2 linked regions of the Macaca fascicularis genome follow. The protein of the gene in region 2 binds, or shares a complex with, the protein of the main gene of each other region. Links are inferred from orthologs where the notes say so. Each region holds a gene or a part of one and is shown on either strand. Other genes may lie near its edges.

Region 1 (7,141 bases), on a different chromosome or scaffold from region 2:
TTTGTATTTTGTTTGTTTCGTTTTGTTTTGTTTTTTGTTTGGTTTTTGAGACGGAGTTTCTCTCTTGTTGCCCAGGCTTGAGTGCAATGGCACAGTGTCAGCTCACTACAACCTCTGCCTCCCAGGTTCAAGCGATTCTCCTGCCTGAGCCTCCCGAGTAGCTGGGATTACAGGCATGCGCCACCATGCCAGGCTAATTTTGTATTGTTAGTAGAGGCGGGGTTTAACCATGTTGGCCAGGCTGGTCTCGAACTCCTGACCTCACGTGATCCACCCGCCTCAGCTTCCCAAAATGCTGGGATTACAGGCGTGAGCCACCGTGCCCGGCATTTTTAAATTTTTTTAGTAGAGATGGAGTTTTGCCATGTTGGCCAGGCTGGTCTCAAACTCCTGACCTCAGGTGATCCACCGGCCTCAGCCTCCCAAACTGCTGGGATTAAAGGCGTGAGCCATGGCGCCCAGCCTGAGATGGAGAATTTTCAAAAGAGTAGAGACAGATGGGACCTAAGTTTTTAAAAGATGCCCCCAGCTTCTGGGTGGGGCCTGGATTGCAAGCAGTGATGGGGAGGCAGGGAGCCCAGTCAGGGGGATTTGTACACATCCAGGCAAGACAGCCTGCAAGTATTATGGCTGTTAAGGGGTTAAATGGTTCAACGCATTTAGGAGAATGAGATTAGCTGTGTCTTTAGCGTCTGCTACTGTTTATGCTAGTGCCCAAGATCTGGTTCTAATATTAGATCCACCACTCGGAGCTGTGCAACTTCAGACCGGCCTCAGTTTCCCCATCTGTAAAAAGATGATTGATGGCACTGGCCTTATTACCATGTACCTCTCAGAATTCCTAACAAGGAGGCCTATTCAGCATATCTCTTGATGCCTGGTTCCAAAGATGTGGACCAATGCTAGTCGCAAGTACTGTAGCAGGAGGAGCTTCCGACAAAACCCCTCAAACACCGGGTTAAGGAAGGATTTGGCTTTATTCCGACGGGAGCTTCAGCAGACTCGCCTCTCCACTGCCGGGAGCTTCGGTAGACTCGCGTCTCAAGAACCGAGCCTACTAGCATTGGTCCACATCTTGACTGTGTGTGTGTGTGTGTTTTTTTGTTTGTTTGTTTGTTTGTTTTTTACATGGAGTCTCGCTCTGTTGCCCAGGCTGGAGTGCAGTAGTGCGATCTCGGCTCACTGCAACCTCGGCCTCCCGGGTTCAAGAGATTCTCCTGCCTCAGCTTCCAGAGTAGCTGGGACTACAGGCACATACCACCACACCTGGCTAATTTTTTTGTATTTTTAGTAGAGACGGGGTTTCACCACGTTAGCCAGGATGGTCTTGATCTCCTGACCTCGGAATCCGCCTGCCTTGGCCTCCCAAAGTGCTGGGATTACAGGCGTGAGCCACCATGCCCGGCCATCTTGACTCTTTGGTGGGCACAAAAGGCAGACTATTCTGGATTCAAATCCAAACTCAACCACTCCCCCTGGCTGTGACCTTGAAAGAGTGGTTTTATGTCCTTGGGCATCAGTTTCTTCAGCTGTCTAATGGGAGTTGTACTCATGCTACCAGTCTCCTGCTATAGCAAGGATTTCCTGAGTTCATTCATAGAAAGCACTGGGAATGGTGCCTACTACACAAGAAGCGCCTCATAAACCGTGCCTATCCTTAGCCATCTCATTCTTTTTTCAAAGTTGCAAAATATTTCACTGTAAGATACTACCATAAAATAGAGGCAGTATCTACTCATGAACTTTTAGGCTTTTTTGTTGTTGTTTATTTGTGGGGTTTTTTTGGTTTTGTTTTTTGTTTTTTTTTTTTTTTTTTTTTTTTTTTTGTTTTTGTTTTTTTGAGACAGAGTCTCCCTCTGTTGCCCAGGCTGGAGTGCAGTGGCGCCATCTCTGCAACCTCCACCTCCCGGGTTCATGCCATTCTCCTGCCTCAGCCTCCCGTGTAGCTGGGACTACACACGCACACCACCACACCCGGCTAATTTTTGTATTTTTTGTAGAGACGAGGGTTTCACCATGTTGGCCAGGCTGGTCTCGAACTCCTGGCCTCCAAGTGTTCCACCCGCCTAGGCCTCCCAAAGTGCTGGGATTACAGGCATGAGCCACCGCGCCTGGCTATGAACATTCAGGTTTATTCATCCACTCAAAAATATGTAGAGCCCTGACCTCCTGCCAAGCGTCACAGGGGGACTGTTGCAATAAGATCCCGGTACCCATTTCTCTACCCACGCGTCTGGGTGTACGGGTACGGATAGTCGCGTGAATTTAAAATGCTAATCTATGGTGCCAGTGGCTCTCAAAAGGTAGAATCCACTGGCACACCCACCTCCAGGACTTGGCTGGAAACTTGTACATTTCGGATGGCAGGTTTGGGAACCGCTGCCTTTCAGCAAAGGTGCTGACGTGGGCCACCGCCGCTTCGCTGGGAAGCAATGGGCCCAGCTAGGCCCCAGGCGCGGCCACACCCCTGTGGGGGAGGGGAAGGAGGCTGCCCCGAAGAGAGTGGACAGCCCCCCTGTCAGTCTTCCAGAGTCTGGGAGTGTAAGATGAGACGGGGGAAGGTGGGCCTCATTCTGGCGGAGGGCAAGGAGGAACTTCCTGCTGGTGCGCTCCACCGTGCAGAGCCCTAAGCGCGCGGGCTGGCAGGCTGCGGCGCGTCAAGGTCAGCCTGGAGCTGGGTGGTGGCCTGCCTGGGGGCGGGGGACCCTACTGGGGGGCCGGGCTGAGGCCTCTCAGCGCCTCCGCCATATTGAATAGCCTCGACTGGACCGTCTTTGTCTGCGAAGTCCTCTCCCAAGTTCCAACCGCGTCCCAGGGGCCTGGGGCAGGAAGAATCGCTGGCAGCCCGCGCGCCCCAACTTGGAGCCGGGACACCACGTTTCCAGCTTGGAGTGGGCCTTGAACCTTGGGACTGACCTCGCCCCCGGCTCACGTAGGCATCCTGGAAATTGATTCTCCCAAGTCCTTGGTGGAGGAGCCGGACTTGGTCAAGACTGGACTTGTTGCAGGAGAAGAGATTGGAGGCGTTGACTCGTCCCTGGCTGGGGAGGTGAGACTCTGCGGTCAGCGTTGCTGGGACTCCCCCCATCCAGTCCCTCCCTCAAGACTAAGGGCTACAGTAGTTTGTTGGGGCTCTTTGCTCCCTCACCCCAGATATCACCCTGGAGATCTTAAAGACTCTCGAGAAAAGCCACGTGGGGGGCTGGTTCCCCTGGGGCTTCCTCCCGTCCCCCGACTGCCTCATTCTTTGGAGCGTCCCCGATGTCTGCAAAGATGTGGATTTGGACGTCCTCGTGGAAGCCCTAAAACCCGTGGGAACATTTAAGAAGATCGGCAAGGTGTTCCGCAAGGAGGAGGACTCCACGGTGGGGATGCTGCAGATCGGGGAGGACGTCGACTATTTGCTCATCCCCCGGGAGGTCAGGCTGGCCGGGGGCGTCTGGAGAGTCATCTCTAAGCCTGCCACCAAGGAAGCAGAATTTCGGGAGCGGCTGACCCAGTTCCTGGAAGAACAGGGCCGCACCCTGGAGGACGTGGCCCGCATCATCGAGAAGAGCACCCCGCACCCGCCCCAGCCCCCCAAAAAGCCCAAGGAGCCCCGAGTGAGGAGGAGAGTGCAGCAGATGGTGACTCCTACGCCCCGGCTGGTCGTGGGCACGTATGACAGCAGCAACGCCAGCGACAGCGAGTTCAGCGACTTCGAGACCTCCAGAGACAAGAGCCGCCAGGGCCCGCGGCGGGGCAAGAAGGTGCGCAAAATGCCCGTCAGCTACCTGGGCAGCAAGTTCCTGGGAAGCGACGTGGAGAGCGAGGATGATGAGGAACTGGTGGAGGCATTTCTCCGGCGACAGGAGAAGCAGCCCCCCGCGCCGCCTGCCCGCCGCCGCGTCAACCTGCCAGTGCCCATGTTTGAGGACAACCTGGGGCCTCAGCTGTCCAAGGCGGACAGGTGGCGGGAGTATGTCAGCCAGGTGTCCTGGGGGAAGCTGAAGCGGAGGGTGAAGGGTTGGGCGCCGAGGGCGGGCCCCGGGGTGGGCGAGGCCCGGCTGGCCTCCATCCCAGTGGAGAGCGCAGGGGTATCCTCCGGCACCAGCCCCGGGGATCCCGGGGATCCTGTGGAAAATGTGGGAGATGTCTGTGCCCCGCAGGCCTCCCCTAGGCGATGGAGGCCCAAGATCAACTGGGCCTCGTTTAGGCGCCGCAGGAAGGAGCAGACAGCGCCCACAGGTCAGGGGGCAGACATCGAGGCTGATCAGGGGGAAGAGGCTGCAGATAATCAGAGGGAAGAGGCCATAGCTGACCAGGAGGAAGAGGCTGCAGGTAATCAGAGGGCAGGGGCCCCAGCTGACCAGGGGGCAGAGGATGCAGATAACCATAGGGAAGAGGCTGCAGATAATCAGAGGGAAGAGGCCATAGCTGACCAGAGGGAAGAGGCTGCAGGTAATCAGAGGGCAGGGGCCCCAGCTGACCAGGGGGCAGAGGCTGCAGATAACCATGGGGAAGAGGCTGCAGATAATCAGAGGGCAGAGGCCCCAGCTGACCATAGGCCACAGGGTGCAGATAACCTGAGGGAAGAGGCTCTAGCTGACCAGGGGTCAGAGGCTACAGATCCTCAAAGGGAAGAGGCCATACATGACCAGAGGGAAAGGGCCCCAGCTGTCCAGCGTGCAGGTAATCAGAGGGCACAGGCCCGGGCTGGCCAAAGGGCAGAGGCTGCACATAATCAGAGGGCAGGGGCCCCAGGTATCCAGGAAGCTGAAGCCTCAGCTGCCCAAGGGGCCACAGGAACAGCTTCAGGAGCCAGGGCCCGGAAACAGGTCAAGACAGTGAGGTTCCAGACCCCTGGACGCTTTTCGTGGTTTCGCAAGCCCCGGAGAGCCTTCTGGCACACTCCCCGGTTGCCAACCCTGCCCAAGAGAGTCCCCAGGGCAGGCGAGGCCAGGAGCCTCAGGGTGCTGAGGGCCGAGGCCAAAGCAGAAGCTGAACAGGGAGAGCGAGAAGACCAGCTGTGAGGTGAGGGCTAGAGACAGCCCACGGGCCCTCCCTACAAGCGTGGGAGAGAAAGTTGCTCTTTCTGCCTCTGAACTTGAAAGTGGAGTTGGAGTGCTGCCCACATCTCCACCTTACAACCCTCTTTATTCTCTTGTTAAAGTTTTGTCTCATGCGTTGATTTTTAAAAAATTTTTTAGAGACAGGGTCTCACTCTGTTGCCCAGGCTGGAGTGCAGTGGCATGATCACTGCAGCCTCAAACTTCTGGCCTCAACTGATCCTCCTGCCTCGGCCTCCCAAAGTGCTGGGATGACAGGTGTGAGCCACCACACGTACCACCTGATAAAATATATATATATATATATACACACACACACACACACACATATATATACTGATTCCTTGTAGCAACCCAAAAAATGTAAAGAAAGAATTCGATACAAGGGGGTTCTGTCACCTATAGTTTTAATTTCCTCAAATGCAACTCAAGGTGCTCAGCTTGATAAAAGGAGAGCGGGAGGGCAGGGGAGAAATTGCCTGCTTTTCCTGTCCCTTTTTTGCCTGCACACTTAACGTGGACTGCCTCCTTGGACTTAAAAAGAGGACTTGAGCCAACATGCAAATAAAAAAACATTTATGAACTGGTTTCTTAGCTTTGGACTTGGCAACTGACGAATGCTCTGGGGGTGACCCGGCCCTTCCTGTCCGTTCTACTCCCATCCTTGAAGATGGAGACACCTGTGTTTATGTTGTCACTTCGCTTGCCATCCTCATGCCCCTGGACTCTGCTGCTTTGGAGGGGACAGGGCCCTTGGTTTGCATACCTCTCCCGATCTTGGTTGTAAGGTACAGTAAAAGCATCTGAAAAATGCGTTCAAAACACAGATTCTGGGGCCCTCAGCATCAGAGATGTGGATTTGCTAGCGGTGCCTGTGTGGCTCTGAATTCTGTTTGCATCAAGCTTCCAAACATCTGGGCAATTCGGCCATTGGACACATTGAAAACTCATTGCAATAAGAAAAGGCCTAAAAGAGGGGCTGTGGTTGGCTGGACGTGGTGGCTCACACCTGTAATCCCAGCACTTAGGGGGGCCGAGGCGGGTGGATACAAACAAGGTCAAGAGATCAAGACCATCCTGGCCAACATGGTGAAACCCTGTCTCTACTAAAAATACAAAAATTAGCCTGGCCTGGTGGTGCACGCCTGTAGTCCCAGCTACTCGGGAGGCTGAGGCAGGAGAATCTCTTGAACCCGGAAGGTGGAGGTTGCAGTGAGCCGAGATCGCACCATTGCACTCCAGCCTAGTGACAGAGTGAGACTCTGTCTCAAAAAAAAAAAAAAAAAAAAAAGGCTGTGTGTATTGTGCATTAATTGCTTGTGCATTAATTGCTGCTGCTGGTTCTTTTTTTTTGAGATGGAGTCTCTGTCACCCAGGCTGGAGTATGGTGGCGCGATCTCGGTTCACTGCAACCTCCGCCTCCCGGGTTCAAGTGATTCTCCTCCCTCAGCCTCCCGAGTAGCTGGGACTACAGGCGTGTGCCACCACACCTGGTTAATTTTTGTATTTTTAGTAGAGATGGGGTTTCACCATGTTGGCCAAGCCTGTCTTGAACTCCTAACCTCAACTGATCCGCCCACTTCAGCTTCCCAAAGTGCTGGGATTACAGGCATGAGCCACTGCGCCCAGCCAACTGCTTCCTATGATTGGGAAGAAATTGGGTTGCTAAGGCCCTGTGGAGGTTGGGAGGAAGCTGGGGGCCTCTCTCTGTATTGCCTTGTGTCCCCACAACCCCCAGCAGTGAAAAACAGCAAATGACCAGACTCGAGCCTTGCTGAGGGCAGGAGAAAAGGGAGTTTATGGAGGTCCAGGGGCCAGTCTGTCTTCCTAACTGGTTGCAGGCCTGGCCTAAGTTTCTTACTTTTTTTCTCTGGAAAGTAAAGAATTGTATCCCACCACCCTCCTTTTGTCTTTCTCTCTTCCACGCTCCTCCCTCCCTCCCTTCCTTCCCCTCCTTCCCCTCCTTCCCCTCCGCTCCCCTCCCTCCCTCCCTCCCTCCCTCCCTTCCTCCCTTCCTTCATCTTTCTCTTTCTTTTTCTTTCTCCCTACCTCCCTTCCTCCCTTCCTTCCTCCCTTCATTCCAATTTTCCTTC
Region 2 (7,289 bases):
GGTAGAGGTGGGGCTCTCTCTGCACACATACCCTCCATCCTGATCTTCTCAGCTGGCAGCTGGCTCCTCCCAAACAGCTCACCAGCCTCTCCCACCTCTGAAAATTCCAGACCCCTCCTCTGCAGCCCCTTCCACTCTCTGACCTCCACTTTTCATCCTGAGCCTTTCAAATGCTCTATACAGTCCAGCCCTTGCAATAGAGCCCTCCAACCTCTGAGTGCCTCCAGGCTGGCTCTACCTCCCCATCTAGGTTCTCCTGGAGGATCTGGAGAACCTCCTGATGGTCAGGTCCATCCAGCTTCTTGATGAAGAAGAGGAGTTCCCACCACTCAGCCAGGGTCAGGTGTTCACACTCCTCAGTGTCCTCATCCTCAGGCAGCACATAAGGCACAGCATAGAGTTCCGTCATGGGCCTCCAGCGCCAGGCGGGCAGGGCTGTGGAAATGGGCCGAGGGGCACAGGGATGTCACTAGCAACTGAGCAGGACCACCGTTACTCTGCTCAGAGCTGACCCTTGCTTACTCCCTGAGCTCACCTCTACCCAGGACTCTACTGGCCACCGCCCCTTGGTACTCATCAGCCTCAACCATGTCCTCAACGTCTTCCTCAAAGCCCAAGATCTCCAGCATGTGCCAGTGCACCCAATAGGTGCGGCCTGTTAACTCCCACAATACCTGGAGAATAGGGAAAGAAAGAGAGGGAAGGGGAAGGGAGGACTCACTAATGACTGGCTGTGGCCTAGTACTGAGGACTTATAGCCCTCAGGGTGACCACCTGGCCAGGTTTTAGAAAAACCTTCATATAACAAAACAGCAGCATATGGAGTATACACACACACACACACACACACACACACACACACACACACACACACAAAGGATGCCCTCTCCTTTGGGGGATGGGCCTGTCTTTCCTCTCACCCTATCTTTCACGGCTTATGCCCCCACACTTCCTTCTGGCCTCTACCACTCCATCTCCCTGACCCTGACCTTTGGAGGAGTCTGGCTATATCAGTTTCTTCCTGTGTGAGTCTTCTTGACTTCACAGCCTCCTAAACCCAGATTTTCCAGCTCTCAGAATGGCCCGCCTCTCAACTACTGACTCTTTTTCACCATCCCAATCTTATAGAAAGCTTTCTCTTTGGGTGGTCTGCTGGAGCCCCTCTGTATGGAAGCCCCAACTCTGCCCCACCCCAAATAGACCCCTAACAGTGTCCCACCACCATATGCCACTCACCTGCACAGGAGGCACGCCGCTGTTGCTCTGCCGAAACTCGCCCTCATCCCCGGCACTGATCTCCTCATAATCATCCAGCATCCGCACTCGCATCCCCGGCTGCAGTGTGTCCCGCACATACAAGGCATAGGTATTGCCGCTTGCAAACTCAGAACGAGGGCGAAAACGTCTTGACCTCCTGAAGGAGGGCTGAGCCTGGGCAGTGGGGAACCCTGGGCTCACATCTGCCAGCTGAGGCTGGAAGATGGAACCGGGGAACCGTGCTGAGCTCCTTGGTCTGTCTGTGGCCTGGTCCCAGCGCATGGCTTGCACCAGCTCCGAGATCAGGGTGCCCATGGCCATACTGAACTCCAGCTCCAGTTGACCCCTCTTCCCACTCAACTCCTCAGGAGCAGAAGTGTTCTGGGCTCCTGGCTCCGCAGCACTGTTGTTCAGCTGATCCAGGAGCGAGGTGACATGCAAATACCGCTTCACGAGGGAGAAGAGCACCCTTCCTGGGACCTGTGGGATACAACCTTTGGCCTACATCCACCTTGTCCCAGTTTAAGACCCTCTCTCCATACCATCCTCTGTAGATAGGTGCAAAGGCCTGGTCCCTAGATCTTGTTCACAAGCTCCCCCTACCTTATACCCCCAAAGGTTACCTGTGGTAGCTGAATGCCCTCAAAAGACATGGGATGTTCAGAGAGCGTGGCCTGTGCAAACAGTGCTAGCAGAGCACAGCGGCTGTCAAAATCCAGGTGTTTCTCAATGGCTTCTTGTTGGCTCAGTGACAGAAGGATTTGAGTCCGGGTCCCTGTAACCCATATCCCAATTAGTAACTTCTCCCTAATCTCACCCTTCCTAGAAATCTTAGACCCTCTATTCTTTCAATCCAATCCTTTTGCCACCACACAATGGGAAAGAACTGATTTGCTTCAAAAGCTAAAATTTGACAACTTATATACATACACACACGCACATAAACACCATCTACAATAGTCTAAACTGTAAATTCTTCCTTTGCATAAAAAGCAACTAATTAATATGAGGTTATTGAAGATAGTCTTTCCTCTTTTGGCAGATAACCCCCACCCTCACTCCCATTCCCACCTCCTTTTCTTCCAACTCTAAGAGAAGGGCAACAGAATCATTTACGTACTGATGAGATCAGAGGCTCCTGCCACAGTGTCCTGTGAGTCCCTGAGCCGACCCAGCCCTTCTGCTTTCCCTTCCTCCCCACACTGCCCCTCACCAGCATCATGGGAGGACAGGGCTTGTATCATCCGGCCTGCGCTCCAGCGAATCTGATAATCGGGACTACTCAACATGTGCATGAGCAAGTCCAGGACTCTTGGGTCCTTGAATACCCCAGTGAGGGGCTCGATGCTGGCATAGGCGCTGAGCACGTGGACAGTGTGAAGTAGAGGAGCAGGAGGGATGGTGCCCACACACTCCTCCAGCTGCCGAAGGGCTCTCTGAATGAGGGACTTCACATCGGTTTCCATCTCCTCCAGCACAGATTTGTCCAGGGCCCCAACCTCCCCTGCAGACTCCTGGGAGGGCCCGATGACCTGGCCATCCTCGCCCAGCATCTTGTGGCAGTTGGCATAGATCTCATCCTTGGACATCCACAGCAGGATGTGCTCAGCCTTGCAGTCCACTTGGCCAGAGCCCCCGTCACCCTCATCGGCACGCCGCAGGATGAGCCAACGGATCTGGTACTCAGGATGCCCATCATGGCCCACTCGCTGGCGGATCAGCTCATCAGGATAGGCATGTAAGCCAGGCCCCAGGGGCACCCTGAATTCCCTGTAGCGGAGTTCCCCCACCATCCTGGCACCTGGAGCACACAAGGAAAAGAGAACAGACAAGCTAGAGTAAGGAGAGGTCAGAAAATCAAAGACATCCAGGAGGTGGGAAAGCAAATGGCAACAGCTGTCAGGCGGGGTGGGGTAAAGCCAGGCCCAGGAGTTGCATGCTGCATGCTGAGTCGGGGCAGGCCTAAGCAGAGAACTACTGGGGTGTTTTGTTGTGAAATAACACAAAATTTGGGGGCTAAAAGGAAGGTCCCCAAGACCCTGAGGCCTGGAGTGGGTTGGTTTGGAACAGTGGGCAGACTAGTGGGGGCAGGCAGGGCAGCCTTGGAGTTACAAGTGAATCCCAAGGCCTTGAAACAGGCAGCTACCCTGGGGATATGTGAAGCCCAGAGGGCTATGTTTGGGAGGGAGATCCTGAGTGTGTGTGGAAAGGGGTGCTGTCTCTAAGGATTGGAGCATGGGAGTGTGAGACCCAAGTTAAGAGTCCCGAGATCGCAGAATTAAGAGACCTGAGAACTGGTGGTGGAGTGGGAGGGCAAGGCGCGATGGACTGGGAGGAGGCACTGGTGGGTTGGAGGCGCCTCTGACTGGAGCGACTGGAGCAACTGGAACAAAAGGGCTGGTGGGGGCGCCGCGAGACCCAGGGCAGGGTGCACAGACAAGGTAGGTGAGGGGCGCGAGGCTTGGGGGACCGAGGTTGGAGACCCGAGAAGCCAGGGGCGCGCGGTAAAGTGGGGGAGGGGGGATTAGGCCCCATAAACTAGAACCCCGAGGCCCAGTAGGATGGGGAACCGAGGTTGGGTGAGCGCAAGGCTCGATGGGCAAGTGGGCAGGAGAGGAGCAAGGGGCCGCGGCGGGGCTCTGGCCACCTCAGAAGTCCACCGGGGTCCTGGCGCGAGGCCTGTCCTTCACAGAGCAAGGGACGCGGCACAGATGCTGGCGGCGACTCGGGCCCCACCTGGGCCCCGCGAGGGGGTCGAGACGGAGAGACAGGAAGGGGCGTGCCTCTGCGGAACAGAGCGGCAGCCGCCTGGGTCGGCAGCCACTGGGGCAGGGTGGAGCCTGGTCCCTGCCAGCGTCTCCGCCAGCCAAAAGCCACGGCTCATTTCCGCCGGACCCAGCGGAAGGCTAGGGGCCCTGGGAAAGGGCCGGGGAGGAGCCGCGGATGCCACCTTGGCGACGCAGCACCTCCTCCTCTGCGCCGCCCTTTCCTCTTCCTTTTGTCCTCCCTCCTGCGGAAGTGCCCACCCTGTTTCCCAGTCACAACTGGAAAAGGCCTTGGACGTCATTTATTTCCACCCCCGGCTCCATTACCTGTAAGGGAATTGGGGTGGGGACAGACCCAGTGTCCTGTACTTTCTTTTCCTCCCACACTTTTTACTTCTTTTCCCCACGTTCAGTCTGTACCATCCCCTCCCGCAAAAAACCAGTAACAGATTACAGGAGGGGGAGGCATTTTATTAGAGTACAGGGATATCAGCTTTGGGCAGCAGCAGAAGGCAGCTTCACGTAACTCTTCATAGGGGGTAGTGGCCGAATCTTTCGGCCAGCCCAGCCTCCCTTGCGGTGCCATCGCCCACTGTTAGGCCTCTTGCCCAGCCAGCGGTTGCGACCTGCCTTGCCAATGACCCGTTTGTTATGATCAACGTTGGATACTCGGCCTACTGTTGCTATGCACGTTTCCAGCACCTGACAGAGAAAACAGATGGAGATTCTATACAATGTGGGGGAAAGAGCTTGACAGTGTTGACAGCAAAACCCTTGGGGGGCTTCTTAGACTCAAGGAGAGGAGAGAGGAAAAAGGAAAAGCACAAGATGGTTGAAGCTAAGTGAAGGTCCTACAGTAGGAACTAGGTAGTTGAAAACAAAGAGCTGGGCGCAAGGACTCAGGCCGGTAATCCCAGCACTTTGGGAGGCCGGGGCTGGAGGATCACTTGAGCTCAGAAGTTCGAGACCAGCCTGGGCAACATAATGAGACCCCATCTCTACAAAAATAAAAAATATTAGCCAGGGCCAGGTGCAGTGGGTCACACCTGTAATTCCAGCACTTCGGAAGCCTAGGCAGGCAGATCGCTTGAGCTCAGGAGTTTGAGACCAGCCTGGCCAACATGGTGATACCTTGCCTCTACAAAAATACGAAAATTAGCCTGGTATAGTGGCGTGCGCCTGTAGTCCCAGCTACTTGGGGGGCTGAGGCAGAATTGCTTGAACCCAGGAGTTTGAGGCTGCAGTGAGCTGACTGTGCCACTGCACTCAAGCAATAGGGACCCTGTCTCAAAAAAAATTAGGGTCGAGCACAGTGGCTCACTCCTGTAATCTCAGCACTTTGGGAGGCCAAGGCAGGCGGATTACGAGGTAAGGAGTTCGAGACCAGCCTGGCCAACGTGGTGAAACCCCATCTCTACTAAAACACAAAAATTAGCCAGCTGTGGTGGTGCATGCCTGCAATCCCAGCTACTCAGGAGGCTGAGGCAGGAGAACTGCTTGAACCTGGGAGGTGGAGGTTGCAGTAAGCCAAGATCGTGCCACTGCACTCCAGCCTGGGCGACAGAGCAAGACTCTGTCTCGAAAAAAAAAAAATTACTTATGGTGCCAATCCGACAAAGCACACCTAAGTCATGTGGCAGAAAAGGACAGCCTTAGCTCAAGGCAGTTCCTTGCATCATAAAACACCTGGGACCTACCTACCCCAGACAGGAAAGTTATATTCCAAAAATTCCTCCTTTGCTGACCCCTCCCAGCCATACCCATACACACCTGCATCTGCCTCTTAGACGGCAGCTGGATAATGGCTGTGCCATTCACCTTCCGCAGTAGCACACCACACGTCCCTGGGGAAAGAAGCTGATCTGCCACCCTCCACAAAACGGGGGGGTGCAGAGGAATTTACACAGGGGCCACATCCCATATGCTGCCCTTGCTTTGCTCTTTAGGAACAGATACACAAAGAAGGATGCATGCTACATTTTAGGTCAAAACACATGCATATCTTCATCCTCATGTTTCTTGTTTTTTCCTTAATTTTCTCTGCCAGTACCAGATGTGGAACCATGGGTTCAGACTCTCCTTGCCTTTCCAAACTATAGGACCCAGGCAACTCCTTTCCCCATACCTGCAGCTCGGATATATTGGGCACCCCGGCCTGGCTCACTTTCCACGTTGTTGATGAGGGTCCCCACAGGCAGAGCCCCAAGAGGATGCGCATCCCCTTCCCGAGCAGCAACTAAAAGACAGGATTTCATTAGCTCTAGAACCTTTGCTGCCTCCAGCCCACACATCTGGTAGCCATCTCTCACCTGCCATTCTGCCTATGTGGTTAGAGTTCAAGACTGTATCTCCAGCCTGCATGTTTTCTGTGGCGATGATCCAGCGTTTCCGGCTGCCCCCAGCAACCAGAGCTATGTCTGCTGACCTGATCAGGGTGAGGGACAGGTAAGCAGACCATCTAGGCAGCCCTATATCTCCTGAGAAGCTATGCAGTTATTCAGACCATTCCATCATCATCCCACATCCCAAACTTGCCTACAGGGATCATAGCGGACTTGGATAACCTTCTCCTCAAAGGGTCCTGACTTGGTCTCCTCAGGCCGGAAACGCAGAAAATCAATCATGCGATAACGTTGCTTGTGGCCCCCACCAATACCATGCACCCGGATTCGGCCTGTGGTTTAGGACAGTTGGGGGATATGATTCAGGTGAGAGTAGTTCAGTTTCCAGCACTGGGACCTGGCCCATTCTCTGCCAGAGAGCACTGCTTACAGAGAATGATCACAATTTGCACAGCACACTGGAGTAAGGAGGGTCAACACCAACATGAAGCTAAGTGAAAAAACATTACTGAAATTGTATAAAACTTCCAGATAAAATATTTTCAAATTACTGAAATCAATAAGTTTACTAGAGTCATGTAAATCATACTCAAATAATTTCAACTGTTATTTTTTGTGCATGTGACAGGGTATCACTCTGTTGCCCAGGTTGGATCCTGACCTCAAGTGATCCTCCCGCCTTGGCCTTCTAAAGTGTTGGGATTAAAGGCAGGAGCAACCACACCCAGCCTGTTATAAATATACACATTTTTTGAGACGAGTCTTGCTCTGTTACCCAGGCTGGAATACAATGGCGTGATCTCGGCTCACTGCAACCTCCACCTCCTGGGTTCAAGTGATTCTCCTGCCTCAGCCTCCTGCGTAGCTGGGATTACAGGTGCCTGCCACCACACCTGGTTAATCTTTTTTTTTTTCAGTCAGAGTC

Evidence for each region. The genes of interacting proteins can lie anywhere in the genome.
Region 1: CUL7 (region 2) and CCDC8 share a complex: the UniProt entries of both Homo sapiens proteins name them as parts of the 3M complex. The link is inferred for Macaca fascicularis from reciprocal best matches to the Homo sapiens genes CUL7 and CCDC8.

What each region holds. Positions count from the first base shown.
Region 1 is NC_088393.1:54,433,322-54,440,462, reverse strand, and holds CCDC8 (coiled-coil domain-containing protein 8), read left to right. Parts: upstream 1-2,570; 5' UTR 2,571-3,371; coding exon 3,372-5,012; 3' UTR 5,013-5,635; downstream 5,636-7,141. UniProt on the Homo sapiens protein: Core component of the 3M complex, a complex required to regulate microtubule dynamics and genome integrity. It is unclear how the 3M complex regulates microtubules, it could act by controlling the level of a microtubule stabilizer.
Region 2 is NC_088378.1:128,476,065-128,483,353, reverse strand, and holds the start of CUL7 (cullin-7), read right to left. Parts: upstream 4,146-7,289; 5' UTR 4,142-4,145; coding exon 3,994-4,141; exon of another isoform or gene 3,905-3,993; intron 3,641-3,904; exon of another isoform or gene 3,545-3,640; intron 3,059-3,544; coding exon 2,378-3,058; intron 2,033-2,377; coding exon 1,881-2,032; intron 1,738-1,880; coding exon 1,237-1,737; intron 675-1,236; coding exon 536-674; intron 436-535; coding exon 239-435; intron 1-238. Other genes in the region: MRPL2 (large ribosomal subunit protein uL2m), read right to left, coding at 4,512-4,724, 5,793-5,866, 6,148-6,258, 6,332-6,447, 6,558-6,696. UniProt on the Homo sapiens protein: Core component of the 3M and Cul7-RING(FBXW8) complexes, which mediate the ubiquitination and subsequent proteasomal degradation of target proteins. Core component of the 3M complex, a complex required to regulate microtubule dynamics and genome integrity.